Mytilus edulis: one gene and its partner. Each later gene encodes a partner of the first gene's protein in a complex. Links are inferred from orthologs where the notes say so. Each region holds a gene or a part of one and is shown on either strand. Other genes may lie near its edges.

Evidence for each region. The genes of interacting proteins can lie anywhere in the genome.
Region 2: CCR4-NOT transcription complex subunit 9-like (region 1) and CCR4-NOT transcription complex subunit 10-like share a complex: the UniProt entries of both Homo sapiens proteins name them as parts of the CCR4-NOT complex. The link is inferred for Mytilus edulis from reciprocal best matches to the Homo sapiens genes CNOT9 and CNOT10.

The regions. Positions count from the first base shown.
Region 1 is NC_092345.1:20,339,557-20,347,392, reverse strand, and holds the start of CCR4-NOT transcription complex subunit 9-like, read left to right. Parts: upstream 1-4,638; 5' UTR 4,639-4,926; coding exon 4,927-4,947; intron 4,948-6,917; coding exon 6,918-7,051; intron 7,052-7,448; coding exon 7,449-7,569; intron 7,570-7,836. UniProt on the Homo sapiens protein: Component of the CCR4-NOT complex which is one of the major cellular mRNA deadenylases and is linked to various cellular processes including bulk mRNA degradation, miRNA-mediated repression, translational repression during translational initiation and general transcription regulation.
Region 2 is NC_092348.1:14,910,516-14,918,227, reverse strand, and holds the start of CCR4-NOT transcription complex subunit 10-like, read left to right. Parts: upstream 1-4,414; 5' UTR 4,415-4,498; intron 4,499-5,445; 5' UTR 5,446-5,464; coding exon 5,465-5,746; intron 5,747-6,574; coding exon 6,575-6,725; intron 6,726-7,385; coding exon 7,386-7,447; intron 7,448-7,712. Other genes in the region: peptide methionine sulfoxide reductase-like, read right to left, coding at 721-854. UniProt on the Homo sapiens protein: Component of the CCR4-NOT complex which is one of the major cellular mRNA deadenylases and is linked to various cellular processes including bulk mRNA degradation, miRNA-mediated repression, translational repression during translational initiation and general transcription regulation.

The sequences.
Region 1 (7,836 bases):
TCCAAGATTACTATTCTTGTCGATATAGCCATTATATATAGATTCTTAATATCCATGTATCAGTGATAGCCGCGGATCGTAAACTTGGAATTGATAGTTAATAGCAAATACATGTACACTCTGTTTATAGTATATGTGCATGCATGATCATAGTATAAAAAATCAAAGAGCTGAAGAGCTCTGAGGGAAAAGACGGCCATTGTTTCACTTTTTAGGAGGTATCTTTTGATAGTCTACATACAAAGAATGAGCAAAAGAACAGCTAGAACATATAGAAAGGCTAACAATAATGAAACTAATTGTTGTTTATTGTTATTTCATTTCCTTAGTCAAGAATTCATCATAGAGACAATTTGGACCAATGAGATCTGCACCTTCTAAATCAAAACATTTGATTAAAGTTGGGAGTTAATTATCTAAAATTCAATTGAATTTAACAACTAATACAATATATTTTAGAATTTTAATTATGTACAACTGAACGGCAGGCTAAGACCATTCTCAATTTTTTGTGACACTATTCTCAAGAAAGTGAGGACTGAAAAATCTATTCAGTTTTAATTTCCCATTGATAAATTTCCCAGTTACAACTCTCATCACAGGGATACATGTACTTATAAAATCAAATATGATTGATATAAGCTGTGTGAAGTTTGTTTCCAGATCCCACATTTTGATATATCTGTAAAATTCATGAATAAATAGCTTTAAACTACAAAAAGCAATATTTAAAAAAAAATGACCACTACAATAATTATGTTGGTATGCAAAATTATTTTTTAATTGATGACTACTTATCATATATATACTTAATGTGATATTTTTAGTGTTCAGATACATTAACTTTCATTTTAGTGGGTAATTACTCATCAATTGAGGTGCTCCTTGATTGGAGAAAGATTCTAAAAACATAACTTTACAGAAAGAATGAAAACTACAGTTGCTCTCCCCAATCTCAATAGGTATAAGCTACAAAAAGCAACATTTAATTTTTTTAATTTTTTTTTTAACCATTTCAATAATTATGTTGGTACACAAATTTTTTTTTATATAGAAGACTACTTATCATATACTAAATGTCACATTTTAATTAAGTGTTCAGAAACATTTACTTTGATTTTAGTGTATAATTACTCATCAATGGAGGTGCTCCTGAATAGGAGGAAGATTCTAAAAACAGAACTTTACAGAAACAATGAAAACTGTCGTTTCTCTCCCCAAACTCATGTATCCCCATTGACATTGTTTACCGCGAATGTTAACTTACAAATTATCTGATTATAGACTCAGATTAAAGCATTGCATGTTGGTGTGTGAATGATCTACACTACAGCAAATATCATTAGGTTTACATTTAACAAATACGGATTTTAAATTAGTATACAAATACTGTGACTGGTTTTTATAATGAATAAAGGATATCCCTGTGTGGCATTCCAACAATGACGTCACTAGGTTAGATATATTTAGAATATTTCGTAATACTGATTTTTCCGGACTGTAAAAGAAACGTATATAGTGTAAGGGAAAGCTCAATATACGATAATTTCACGAGAAACAGAAGGGAAATGTGTAAAAAATGTATTTAAAGTCAATCTGTTCTCTTTGTCATCAATTTCAGTATGACATTTTGAGGGGGTTTCCAAACTATCAAAACAAAATGATTGACGTGAGGGAATGATACTCTGGCCAACCCCATTAGGGAATTGACGGCTTGAAGCCGTCTTTCCCCAAAAACGAGATAATAATTGTCCTGTCCCTAAATGGAAGTCTTTGGTTGTTCTCCCAAAATAACACAACCTGAATAATCATAAGCGAGGATAATCAAGATTATAAATTGATTAGTTGTTGGTTGTTCAATGTCAAGTGGCAATTATGTCATGCCTGTTTACATCTAGATAGATAAACAATATTAAAAATACAATAGGTACATTTTGTACATAGTAGAATCTGTAAGCGAAGGAAATTTTGACTCCCACTGGAAAATGAAGATATATTGGATAAAGACAGAAATTTTACATTTTAACAGGCCACCTATAGACCCCTAAAGTTGTTGTCAGGGTTCTTAATGTGCAGAGAGCATGACACTCCAAAGATTCCAGAAGACAAAGATGTACATTGAGGGATTTTAAAAAGTGTTTTTTTACATTTTTAATCTTTATTTCCCATAATCATGATAATACAAATATAATAAAATTAATAGTTCATTTGCAAGTTACACACTTTTTAAGCAAATTACTTCCCTTTGTCAATCGTTGACTGGTTCCATACCAGACAAAATTGGCATTTTCCAATGCAAAGCATGATGAATTGAAAGTGAAGAATCATCAGTTTAACTAATTTTTCATTAAAAATAATTTCTGATGTCATAAGTATTTAGCTGAACAACAAATTAATCATTAATGTAATTAAAAGATTTTAAAACCTTATACAATGTAGATTACTCACATTACGCACAGGTAAATTTGCTCTTTCTACTAGCTCTCCGTTGTAAATAAAAATTAATGTCCCTAATAAGGGAGGCAACCAAAATAGGGATCTCTTATTACAGGGTCAATTACGGGAATTGGCAAATAGCCTATTGAATATGTAAACATGAAATTGCATGTTAAATATAATACCCCTAAGTCTGACTATATAGGGTTTTTATTTCTACAAGTTATTGTATACCACCCTATATTATGTATATGATTTTGTTTCCATTATTTTAATATTTCAATTATAAAATATTCAATACTGTCATTATACACAAGTGAGTTAAAATACTTCAAAAATCAAAGAGCTGATAGCTCTGAGGTGGAAGAAGGTGAATAAAAGGTAACTTGAATTACCATAAAAGCATCCCCACTAACCCAGCCTGCTTTGTTTCATAATCGTTATGATGTATTTTTTTTCTTCAAACAAGAATGTGTCATAAGTATAAAAAAGAAGATGTGATATGATTGCCAATGAGACAACTATCCACAAAAGATAGTCATAAGTACATGGATTTCCCATCCGTACAATCATTTTCTATGTTCAGTCAAACCTGTTTGTTGGTCTTTGTGAAAAAAAAAATAGTACATTGTACATTAAAAAATTTAATTGAATACAAAAATAATGTACATGTATTATGTCAATAAATTAGTGAAAACAAGAATGTGTCCTCAGTACACGAATGCCCCACTCGCACTTTCATTTTCTATGTTCAGTGGACCGTGACATTGGGATAAAAACTCTAATTTGGCATTAAAATTAGAAAGATCATATCATAGGGAACATGTGTACTAAGTTTGAAGTTGATTGGACTTCAAATTCATCAAAAACTACCTTGACCAAAAACTTTAACCTGAAGCGGGACAGACGGACTAACGGACGGACGAACGAACGGACGCACAGACCAGAAAACATAATGCCCCTCTACTATCGTAGGTGGGGCATAAAAATACTATTCAGTATTATCTTTATGGTAGTACTGCATCATTGAATTTTGTCAATCAGCCATGCTTTTATCCTTAAGCTGTGTAAGAACACTCTTTGCTGCAGTGCCATGTTCACGATTTTACAAAATGAAAACAACAAAGTTCAAAATCTACATATGTAGCATGTTAGAATAATCTTCAGAGAAAATGTTTTTGATATGCTTATTAATTTGATCATTAGAAACACAGAATTTGATTGGCTGAACACGATTGTTTTACCTTGGGAACAAAATAAGGAACAGATGATTTTCACTAAATCGTGTTTGAGAGTGTTTTTAAACGATTTTTAATATTTTTTAATAAATGCAAGGACATATTATAAAACGTGTCATGAATCGGAAGTTGTTATGAAATTGTAATGCACAGAAATGGAGGCGGCATACAGAGGTTGTAACGGTTGTAAAGTCGACACCATAGGTCTTCAGAAGACTTGAAGTCTTCTTCCACCAAAAATCAGCAGGATGATGTAGAAAAGATTATTTTAATTAAACACGTTTAAACAAATTAACTATACAGCTTGGCAAAATATACTCAAGGGCAAAGACGCTAATTCATGTTTATACTGTTTTTCTATACATGTAGGTACATGTACAAAATGTACATGTATACGTAATATAAATATATTTGTACCAAACAGTCCATTATCATATTAAGTTATTTTGTGTTTGGATTTATATTTTATAAAGTCCTTACTATACCTGAGGATGTGTGTACAAATTGTGTATTAGGACTAAGGTGTCATTGTGCCTTTTGAGTGGTACATGTACATTTTTACTTTTTGTTTGTGGACATGCGAGTCACAGCTGTTGATTGTTTATTTATTAGTAAGTATCAGCTGGACCATGTACAATACACAATATAGAACACATAGCAGTAAATTTTCAGATCTATTAGACACAAAAAAGATTCCATGATAAATTGAAAAAAAGAGCTATTGTGATTCATATATGGGGATATTATTTTAAGGATCTTCAACAACATGTTAAAACTTAAAGGATACTCAAAGTTAACCAATAAAAGTCATTCAGACTAGATTATAAATAAGTGATGTAATTAGATGTTCTTTCGCTTTCCAAAGTAAAATGCATACTCTCATTCTTGCAGAAAAAAGAAATATATATGTAGATATTATGTCAACATCTCAAAATCATTTCGTCTGATCAAAACAAACGTCCACGTCATTTGCATGTTTGATTAAAGACGAAAAATAATGAAGCACTTTTCGGACAAAGACTTTTTTGACGATTCGCCTATTTCTTCACGCTTTTCTTGATTTTTTTAGACTAAAGACTAAAGATTTTTTGACGAGGATAATTTTTTCTGAAAGGGATATATTTGTTTGTACAGACTTATATGATTCTGATCAAATATTTTAATTCAAAAATTCACTTCAGGCTGAAAATATCACTTCCGGTTTAAGGGGGTCGGTGCCAAAACAAAAACCGATTTCCAGCAAATATTTGCAATGAATATGGCACAACAGCAGGTAATGATTTGCTTTGAACACGAAGAATCCAATAAAACCGTGATTGTCTTTTCGTCTGCAAGATTTGACGCCATAAACATGAAATAATTAGCCCTTTACACTTTCAAAATACAAAAATGATTCAACCAAAGAAACCTTTATACATTTTGTAGAATCTTCATAAAGTTTACAGAAAAAGACAGGACACTAACTATAGAAGACAAAAGTCATTGAGGTGTATTTTAAACAATATGAAAAGAGTTAGTTTATAAGCTCTGAAATCAGCCATTTACAAATAAAATGTGAAATTGTATAATTTTTTTATGGGGTACTAATGAACATTATGATTTATTGTCAACCCCTGTTTTTTTGCTACCGCTATCTTTGTCAGTTTCTGTATCTGTATGGTAACGTCCTAGCTACCAATTCTGGCTTTAATACAACGGGGTGAAGGTGCCATCTGTTTACTGATGTTTCGAGAGAGCAGATTTAAAGCTCTCCATGCTTGTTTCGCACACAATATAGTGTCTTCAAGATGGTTCTAATTAATAACTGGACAAAAAGAATGAGTTTGAGTATTGTTGAGTTTTACTGATGGGAATGTCAAAGCACCTAGTATTGTTCCTCTCTTGTTTTTCCACTATGTTTGTTGCTTTGTAATTCTCAAACTTTTCCGCTGTGATGGTTCGTCTTGGTCTGGCTGATTTTAAAAAGTCGTCTAGATCGATAGCAGGTACCAATCCCTCAACCACCTTGTACAAAAATATAAGTTTTTGGCTAGTGCGTCTGGCTTTTAGTTCTTGAAGTTCCAGTTTTGCGAGCATGTTTGTTATGCAGCCATCTTCTCTTGTTTTGTAGTCCCCTGTTAAAAAGCGTGTTGCTTGTCGTTGTATTCCCTCTAGCTTGTTTGAATCTACTGTACTGTAGTTTATTTTTCGATCTTTAAGTTTGACTGTCCCTCTGGTATCTTTCGTCCCTATTTTATCGTCAAAGGAGCCTTAATAATTATTGTCATTCATCAAATCTCATTATGAAGCTGCCATAAAAAGAGGGACGAAAGATACCAGAGGGACAGTCAAACTCATGAATCGAAAAATAAACTGACAAGGTCATGGCTTAAAATTAAAAATAACAAACAGACAAACAATAGTACACATGACACAACATAGAAAACCAAAGCATAAGCAACACGAACCCCAACAAAAACTAGGCATGCTAGGGATGATCTCAGGTGCTTCAGAAGGGTAAGCAGATCCTGGAGTAAAATGTTTATCTTTTACGTTATTTTAAATCAAAATAATTTACCATCATTCATCATGTGGGATACCCAATTTCCTATCCTCTTCTTGTAAGGTCTAAAAAAAATATTACATGTTCAAAAAAATCATTGTTTGTACCTGTTTGTGTTATTAGCCTCCCTTTAATCAGTCTTCACGCTGAGTGGCAGCCCAGGCTGCCAAGGCTTGTTAAATTGCTCTCGGGCCTGTAAAAATCATATCTACAGGCCAACAGAATCTAACTAAAAATTTTCAAAAATTGAGCTCCGGGCCTGTAGTTTTAATATTTCATTGTAAAGACTGCCTTTAATGAAAGAACGTCTTTAGAAAATTTACATATATGTAAACATATCATCAAATAAAATTGAAATACTTTAACATTTAATATATTCATGATATTAGTTTCAGTCGACTTTAACATGTTTAACTTGGCTATATTTATTAGTGTATGCAAAGGCAAAGCTGTACCAAATACATGTACATCTACAATTACTACTAACATTACAATTGATCACATTCTACATCAAATGACAGAAAAAAGATAGGAGAAAGACACCAAAAGGACATTCAAACTCATGGCATCCTTCAAATTATTGCCAATATATTGTGTCCTTTATAATAATGCCAAGGGTAATTTTGCTAAAACTCCACTATATCTTTTTTTTCATAGTTATTATAGCTGAATTAAAAAAATTTATATCTGTTCTGTTGTAGGCCAGAATGATGACTTCAACAGGACCTGTCACCATACCAACCACCATCCCCCCAGTAGACAGAGACAAGATTTATCAGTGGATTATACAATTAACTAGTCCAGACACCAGAGAAAATGCTCTGCAAGAACTGAGGTGAGTAAAATTTATAATAATATCAATATTGACTCTAATACTGACTTAAATAACAATGCTTTCAGCTGTCATCTCTGAAATTTCATCTTCTTTATTTTACTTTCAACAACATCATGAACATAACCTATTGTTTTTTAAGAAAAAAATTGTGGCAACTCAAGATATTTTGGACATTTACCGTATATGTATATATCGGCTGATGTCTGCTCTATGGTCGGATTGTTGTCTCTTTGACACATTCCCCATTTCCATTCTCAATTTTATTTATTATTCAATGCCTTATTTTTGTTATAACTTTAACCTGTAGAAATCCCTAAAGAAAGATGAAGAGCTGTGATTCACAATAAATTCATTACCTTTGTTAACCCTTTAATCTAAAGTTTTATATTTTTTACAGTAAAAAGAGGGAAGTTGTACCAGATCTGGCACCTATGTTGTGGCATTCCTTTGGAACAGTGGCAGCACTACTTCAAGAAATTGTTAACATCTATCCAACAATAAATCCACCACACTTAACGGTAAATATATATATACCGTAGCATACTGTGGGTTTTATAATTTGTGGAAAACCAATTAACGTGGATTTTGTTAGTGTAGATTACCCACAAGCTTAATGTTCAACGAGGTAAAAAAAAAATATAGGTTGGCAAGCAGATTTTGAAAAAAACATGAAATTAAATAGCATTGAAAATACAAGTTTTCATCAATCCTAGAAAAATTGTTATCCACAAATATAAATGAATCAATAGTAAATGATTTTGAATATTTTGTTTCCTTAAATAATG
Region 2 (7,712 bases), on another chromosome or scaffold:
TATTTGAGTTATTTATATTTGTAACCTTTAATCTCTTATATGAATTGTTTTTGTTTGTAAGCTTTCACTACTTATATGAGATGTTTATAAGCTTTAACTTCCTACATTTGATGACATTTAATGTGCATTAACTTTCCACATGTGTGGTGCATGTTTGTAAAGTTGAGCCTCTATAAAGATTGTTGTTGTCTCAAAGGTACTGTGGATTCATTATTGTTCGTGGATCACCATTTTTTGTGGATTTCATGTGTAAAGGAGTTTTAGGAATTTAAATATTAAAGAACTAATTTTCTTATGGCTTGTATGCTGACTTTGACAAAAACATAAAATTGATTTTCCCAATTATACAATTATTTCTCAATTATACAATTATTTCCCAATTATACAATTATTTCTCAATTATACAATTATTTCCCAATTATACAATTATTTCTCAATCCACCTAAACTTGTACCAAGGGTCCAAATTTCACAATATGAATTACTGCGGATTCATTATTTTTTGTGGGGTAACAATTTTCATTGATTTAGTGGGTACAGATAAACCATGGATTGAAATGATCACTGAATTACACATTTTCTAAAAGGTTGTATGCAGACATTGGCCAAACCAAGAAATCAAATATCCACAAAAATGCAAGTTTTGCTCAATCCACAAAATTTGGTGCCCACGAAAATAAATGAATCCACAGTATTTGTATATGTCTTTAGTATATCTTACTCTTCTGCATCATAAAATGTATCAGCTTTCTTTATCTGAGTTACTATTGGTCGTACCATTTCCTTCTGCTGTTCTTTCTTTGATTCTTCTGCTTCTATTTTCTGTTTAGTGTTATGATAAAAGATGGCTGACATGTACTGGGTTCCGTGAGATGAAGTAGGATTGTGGAATGACCAGAATTTATTCAGCAGGTCACCATAGCTTATTTTACTGGGATCATACTCTAAGCTGATACTCTCTGTATGATCTCCACTACAAAATAGTTTACAGTTGAAATCAGTTCATTACAATTTGAATGTAGTATATATAAAATTTAACATTTTGAGCATAATATTCTCCCTATCTTACCTACATTGTATCATTCATTCATTTACATGTCTTTATGACCTTACCAATCTAAATTAAATGAATCTACAGTTAAAACATATTATTCATTTCTGGCAAAATTAAATGATAAAATATAAGAACATGCAACTGTTTTTCAGAGTAAAAGTTATTCCTATTTTCCCACAAATTGTAAACCAACTAGTTTTTGTGTGCAATTTATTTTAGAGTATAAAACTATTGCAAATATATAAATTGTCTTGAATATGAAAAATTGGATTTTGGTTTACTTAACTACGTAATGAAATTAAATCGCTGCGAAATTGGCTAGAATAGGCAGAACGAGAAATAAAATATTCACAAACATAAGTTGGTTTACAGCATGTTTCAAGAAATTTTAATGAACAGATTAGAATATATTTGTTGTTATCTATACAAAGGTAAATATCATTTAGAGAATAAACCAAAAACATATAAAATTCAAAATTTAACACTCATTTGTTGAAACCAAGTGATAAAATAAAGCAAGTGTTATTCTTTTCCATAACATAGTGTGCAGCAGGCAACTGCTAACCGTTTTTGTGCTATATGAGTTATGAATGTCACAGTAACATATAAAGCCTGCATAAGGCATCATAAGAATAAATTTGACCAAATAAATTATAACTCACATATCTTTTAAGCTGTAATCAAGGTAATATAATAAAAATTTATAACAGACTAATCCTTTATCAGATCAATATAATGTCTTACATGTTACGATAGGTAGCATTCTTGGTGGCTCCACCTGTGAATCCCACTTTGGTTCTGACCACACCAGGTAGACATCCAAACTGGGCCTCAGGGAACCAGAATCAGCTCAGGGCAAAAGTTGCCTTACATAACCTCCCTTCTTCTAGTGGCATAGTGAAGATACTCTACAAATATAAAACCTTTGTATTCTCTAGATAAATCATTTAGGCCATTGTGATTGAGGAGTGGTTCTGAAAAATGCTCACTACGTCATAAAGTGTAAATATACTTTAAAATAATGGTGCTTCACCCAAGAAGTACTCTTCAATGGTTATCTTTTGTCATTTGTGAGACTTGGTGTTGTCTGTTGATGGCAGATTTTTTTTATAGTTAAATTTGTTCAAAGTTTTTTATACTCTTGATAATTTTGAACCTAACAAATGGTATGACATGTAAAAGTTTAAACAAATGGTACTAATACAAATGTAGCTTTAACAAACAGAGTTTCACCCTGATTTTATACTTTGACATATACAATGTATATACATATCATCGAGTAATGTGTTTTTGGACTAATAACAATTTTCACTTCTCACGGTTTTCAGTGGAGTTTTTATTCAGGTGTGTACTCAAAATTTTAAAAACATGTTCTATCGAATGTTTGTAGATATCTAGATTTATTTGTCAAGGCTAACTATGACTTTTTACTAATTCTGATTATTTTGCGATTTTCGTATGTCAAAAAACAGTGTCATATGTTTTCATATGAAGAAAAAACGGAATCAGTTCACAAACAGGAAATGACTATCAAATCCAGAAATGAGTAATTTATAAAGTTGTGGTTCTGGTGATTGCTTAACTCATAAAAAAGTTATTTAATTCTTTTCAGTATTAAAACTAAATAGTAAATAGTTTTTGGTTGATGTTTCATGCGCTGAAATTCTTACATTTTGATTTTTTTCAGATTGGCACTGGGTTTCTACAAAAGACCTTATTTCTGAAGTTTTAAAATTAGTGATTAAATGTAAAAAGCTAGGACTGTTTTTATCATTATATATTAAGGTTGTATAAAAAGAATTGTCAATAGAATGTTGAATGAATGGAGTTTGAACAATCCGATTTTATGTAAGAACCCAGTTAATCTTAACTAGCTGGTTTGTCACAAAAACTACAGAAAACATACATGACAGTCGCATGTCTTGAAGATGCAGTGTTTGACAGACAACCAACATAGCTGTACTTCATGTAACCATTCTGAGTTTTTCTCAACAACTATTCTGGTGATGCATATTTTTGACAGTAAAAAAAAATGGCTGAAACAGGTAAGTTTTACTAAATTTGTTCTAACATATTTTAACACGATTTTGAATATGATTTAAAATTGTGAAGTTGTAGTGTGGTTGTTGTTCCAAATATAGAAACCGAAAAACAAGTCACAAGCCTCCTCTTTTGTGAGAAAAATTTGGTTGATCATATTGGGAATCACTGAAGCATGACTGAAACCCCCCCCCCCCAAATTATGCATATTTTCCCAATAAAAAAGGGTAGAGGTTGTTTTGAAAAATGCCAACAATATCACTGAGAATTTTATGAACTACTGGACCGCAAACTTTCCATGAAGTAAATGAATGCTATTTGCAAAATTGTAAAGATCAAAGAGGAGAACAGAAGATCAAGGCAAAAAGTGTGAAGCATATCTGTACCATAATTCAGTGGCCATTTTAAATGGGGGGTTCCTAACTTTGGACAAAAGGGGGGGGTTCCAACTATATGGTGGGTCTCATTGGGGTCTAAGCGTGACGCGGGATTGCCGATTTTTCGTAAGCGTGAAAGTCAAATTATTGTGTCGTGAAAACGGGAAATGAGGTCTTGCGGGACCCGGGAAATGACAAAAAAATTAGAATTGCTTACGTACATAGTGTAAGCGGGATACAGGAATCTGACAAAACAGTAAGCGGGATCCGAGATCGGAACCCCCCTATATGTTCCCATTCGAATGCATTGATCGGCCAAAAAAGGGGGGTTCCAACACCGGAACCCCCCTGGATCCGCCACTGTATAATCTTCTTTATTCGTCTTGTCACAGAATGCTTGAAATGAGTTAGCCCATATTACATTTATGATTAGCGTCATATTCTTGTTTACCTATCTGAACTATAAATGGCTGTGTTTATATAATATCATTGTTGTCTGTTATGTCTGTTATTATTTGACCTAAACTTAGGCTAAAGAAATAAATCCATAATGACAATTATAATATAAAATTGAGGTTCTACCTGTTATACCCTTTAGATATTGTTTTTAGGTATACACTGTAACTTTTAGATGTCAAATTGTTTTATAGGTATACACTGTATTAACTTTTAGATGTCAAATTTCAGTAAATCTGTTATCAATTCATAATTTAAAGGAAAATAGTAAATTTAATAATCCAGGAACCAGTTCCCAACAAGATTAGCCTAAATTAATGAAATATTATTATATTAATTTTGAAGACAAAATACATCTATAGTTAATATTGTATTGCTTGTATTATTAAAAATACTTTTGGATTTCATCTTTACCTCTAATGTAGTTAAGAAAAGTATTGAGTATTATTTCTTCAATCTATGATTAAAGTGGAGTCAGATATAAAATCATGAAATTACACTTTTCCCTCAGACAAGATGGATGCCTGCTGAGTCCAGGCCCAGGTCGGAATTTGAAAACAACAAACAGCAGGGTAACATAAATTTTGTATCCTCTGAAATAAATTTGAAATTATTAACATAAATAATATGTATGACTGGTTCAAGAGTAAATCCATGTAACATGTTGAAATGACATAATTCAAATGATCAAATTATTTCCGTCGTGACCTCAGGCTCAGTAAATAATTTATTTCTGGTTAAATCGCACCCGGTATAGTCAAATCGGCACCGACGGCAATAGTTGTACTGATTTCGACACCCACGTTAAATATGTTGAATATTTAAACTTTATTGTCGAGCCTGTGAATTTAGTTGCAAAAGAGACTGGCACACATTCATGACATAATTTCTGTGGTCATTAATGTTGACAGGCGGTATCAGGTCCGTTCGCACCCAATACATTTTGACACTCTTCACCTTCACACCACACATGTTTGTCCCGTTATAGATAGTGTACCTTCAAGCTTCTTTTAAAATGAAAATAAATGCCCTGCATCTTTACCTGTTAACTGATTTGAGATGTAAACAAACACAAAAATAAAGCATTGTCATCATGGTCATAATCTCTCTTCATTTAGAAACCATGATTTTTTTCATAGCAATGCACTAACCAAAACATGATTAAGATTTATGTTCAACACAAAACAAAGACTGACAGATGTCAGAATCTCACTTTATTTAGGAACCATTAAAAAAATATATTTATAGCAATGCACTTACCAAAACTCGTTTACAAAATAATTTAAACACAAAACTAATAAAAATTGGTTGCTAAGGTCTAGGGTGCAAAAGTGAAAGGAGGCTCACAGCAATGGGCGTGAACGGCCCCAGATTTATTGGAGGCGGCGTCCAAATATGTAAAAGTTTTTGAAATTTAAATTGAATTCTAGAAGTTTCATTTATATATTGGTTTGTCAGATTTTGATATTGATATATTTGTAAGTGATAAAAAATAAGTTATCTTTATTTTTTATATCAGGTTCATTTACAAGTAAGTAATGGCATCACAAGAAAACAAAGATGATTCTCCCCAAGAGACTGTAGATATTCCACCACCTATACCTTCAGTCACAGAACCTCAGAAACAGATAGCCAGCCAAGCTCTACAGGAATTTGAAAAGAAGAACTATGGTGCCTGTTGTAATCTTACACACAAACTTTTTGTTGAACGTTCAATGGATCCTAAAGTGGTCCACAACAAAGCAGTAGCTGAATTTTATCAAAGTGGATTCTTGACTACAGATGAATTTAGACAGAGCCTCGATAAAGTTTGCCAGATGGTATGATTTAATTTCAAATATGTAAATTAAAAGTGTTATGTTATTGGGAACCGTTGCAGTGGTTTTGAGCAATTATGCTTCCCTTGAGTACTAGAGGTTGTAGTTTTCAACTTCTGGCCAGGTCAATCCAGAGACTTTAACTTGGTATTTGCTTTTCCACTAAGCATGCAGCATTTCATGGTTAGCAAACATTACTGCTTGGCTCAAGATTCATAATAATATATATGAACTGCTGAACTAGCTCATTAAAAATTGGGTTTAAAGATTTAAAAGTGCATGCAGTGTTGTATTTATTTATCTATTTATTGTGAACAGAGATAATCATAAATCTCTAATTATTGTTCAGAGAAATATTATAGGCTATACATGCTATAGCTGTAGTCTCTTATAATAAGGATATCAAGAGAATATATTTGGCAAATATTTCCCTGTTTTTAAACTGTTAAAAAGGATTGTTTGTTTTTTTTTAAACTGTAAATGTGGCTGGTACTGTATACTGAATCAAGTAATAACATCTGCCAGCTTGTCTCTTCTACAATGAAAATTATTGTAAATAAATGTGTGTGTGGACTTCAGGATATCATACTAATGAAATATATTAATTATTGGCTGATAATTAAGTTTGCTGATTACTTTGTCCGATGCCTCCTAAAGGAAATGTTACATTGGCGGTCATTCTCCATCCTGGTCTTTTTAGTAATCACATAGGAAGTTATTTCTAAAGCATTTTGTAGAAATCACCCAGGAACATAGTTATGGGTGTCTTGATGATGATATATTGCTATATTATAACTTTGTAGTAATATACTTGAATTTTTATTTTCTCAGGCTAACATCAGCATGGATAACAGTGACAGTTTAGAAGATGTGGATCATAGTGTATTGTATTTTAACCAAGCCGTTATATTTTACCATCTCAGACAGTATAAAGCAGCCACAAAAGTCCTTGACAAACTCTTTCAGTTTATCGAACCTATAGGTATTATGTACACCATAGTGTATTGTACTTTATCCATGACCATATGTGTAATGTAAATTAATCACTGATTTTAACATTAAAAGTTGATTTTCATCATTGTTCCTCTACTATCAGTCAAATTGCTTTTATTAAGGTTATTATTTGACAATGTTTGAGTTGATTTTGGTATAACTTATTTTTGGATGTAAACACATCTTCTGATTGGCAGACGTTGTTATGTTTATCAGCTCATAGACATAATTTTGTCATGTGACCATGACATCATCACGTTTTTCCATGATTTACTCCGGTTTGATATGGAAATTAGAATTAACTTATAAGAAATGACTGTAATATTTTTTTTGTCTTCGAAATAACATAAATGTGGTGCACACTTTAAAAAAACAACACTACAGGGGTTATTCAGTGTGACCACTATTTGATGTTATATCTTTAGATTTATTGATTCATACTGAATTTAACACCCAAGTAAATTTTCCAATACCTCCTAAACATATCTATCCTATTTTTAATATATATTAATTCCATTTTGATAAGTTTTTATTTTTACAGTTATCATGCTTGAGGACAAGTTGAACTGTGTTATAGTAGATTACTTATGTTTTTAATGGTCAAACGCTTATTGTTACAAAAACTAACTGTCTATTTGTTTATTTTCAGAAGAAAATTTGGCAAAGAAAGCAATAATGTTACTTGTTGAACTATATCTGTGTACTTTTCAAGTAAGTCACTATATCACATTGATTCATTAGACAGTTTATGCATTGATCTTCAAATGAGCTCAATTCAGGAAAATTTTTGGCTTTATTTGTCCAGTCTGTGAATGTAAAATAAGAAGATGTGGTATGATTGCCAATGAGACAAATCTCCACAAGGGACCAAATGAAACAGAAATTAACAACATCGGGTCACCGTATGGCCTTCAACAATGAGCAAAGACCATACCGCATAGTCAGCTATAAAAGGCCCTGAAAGGACTAATGTAAA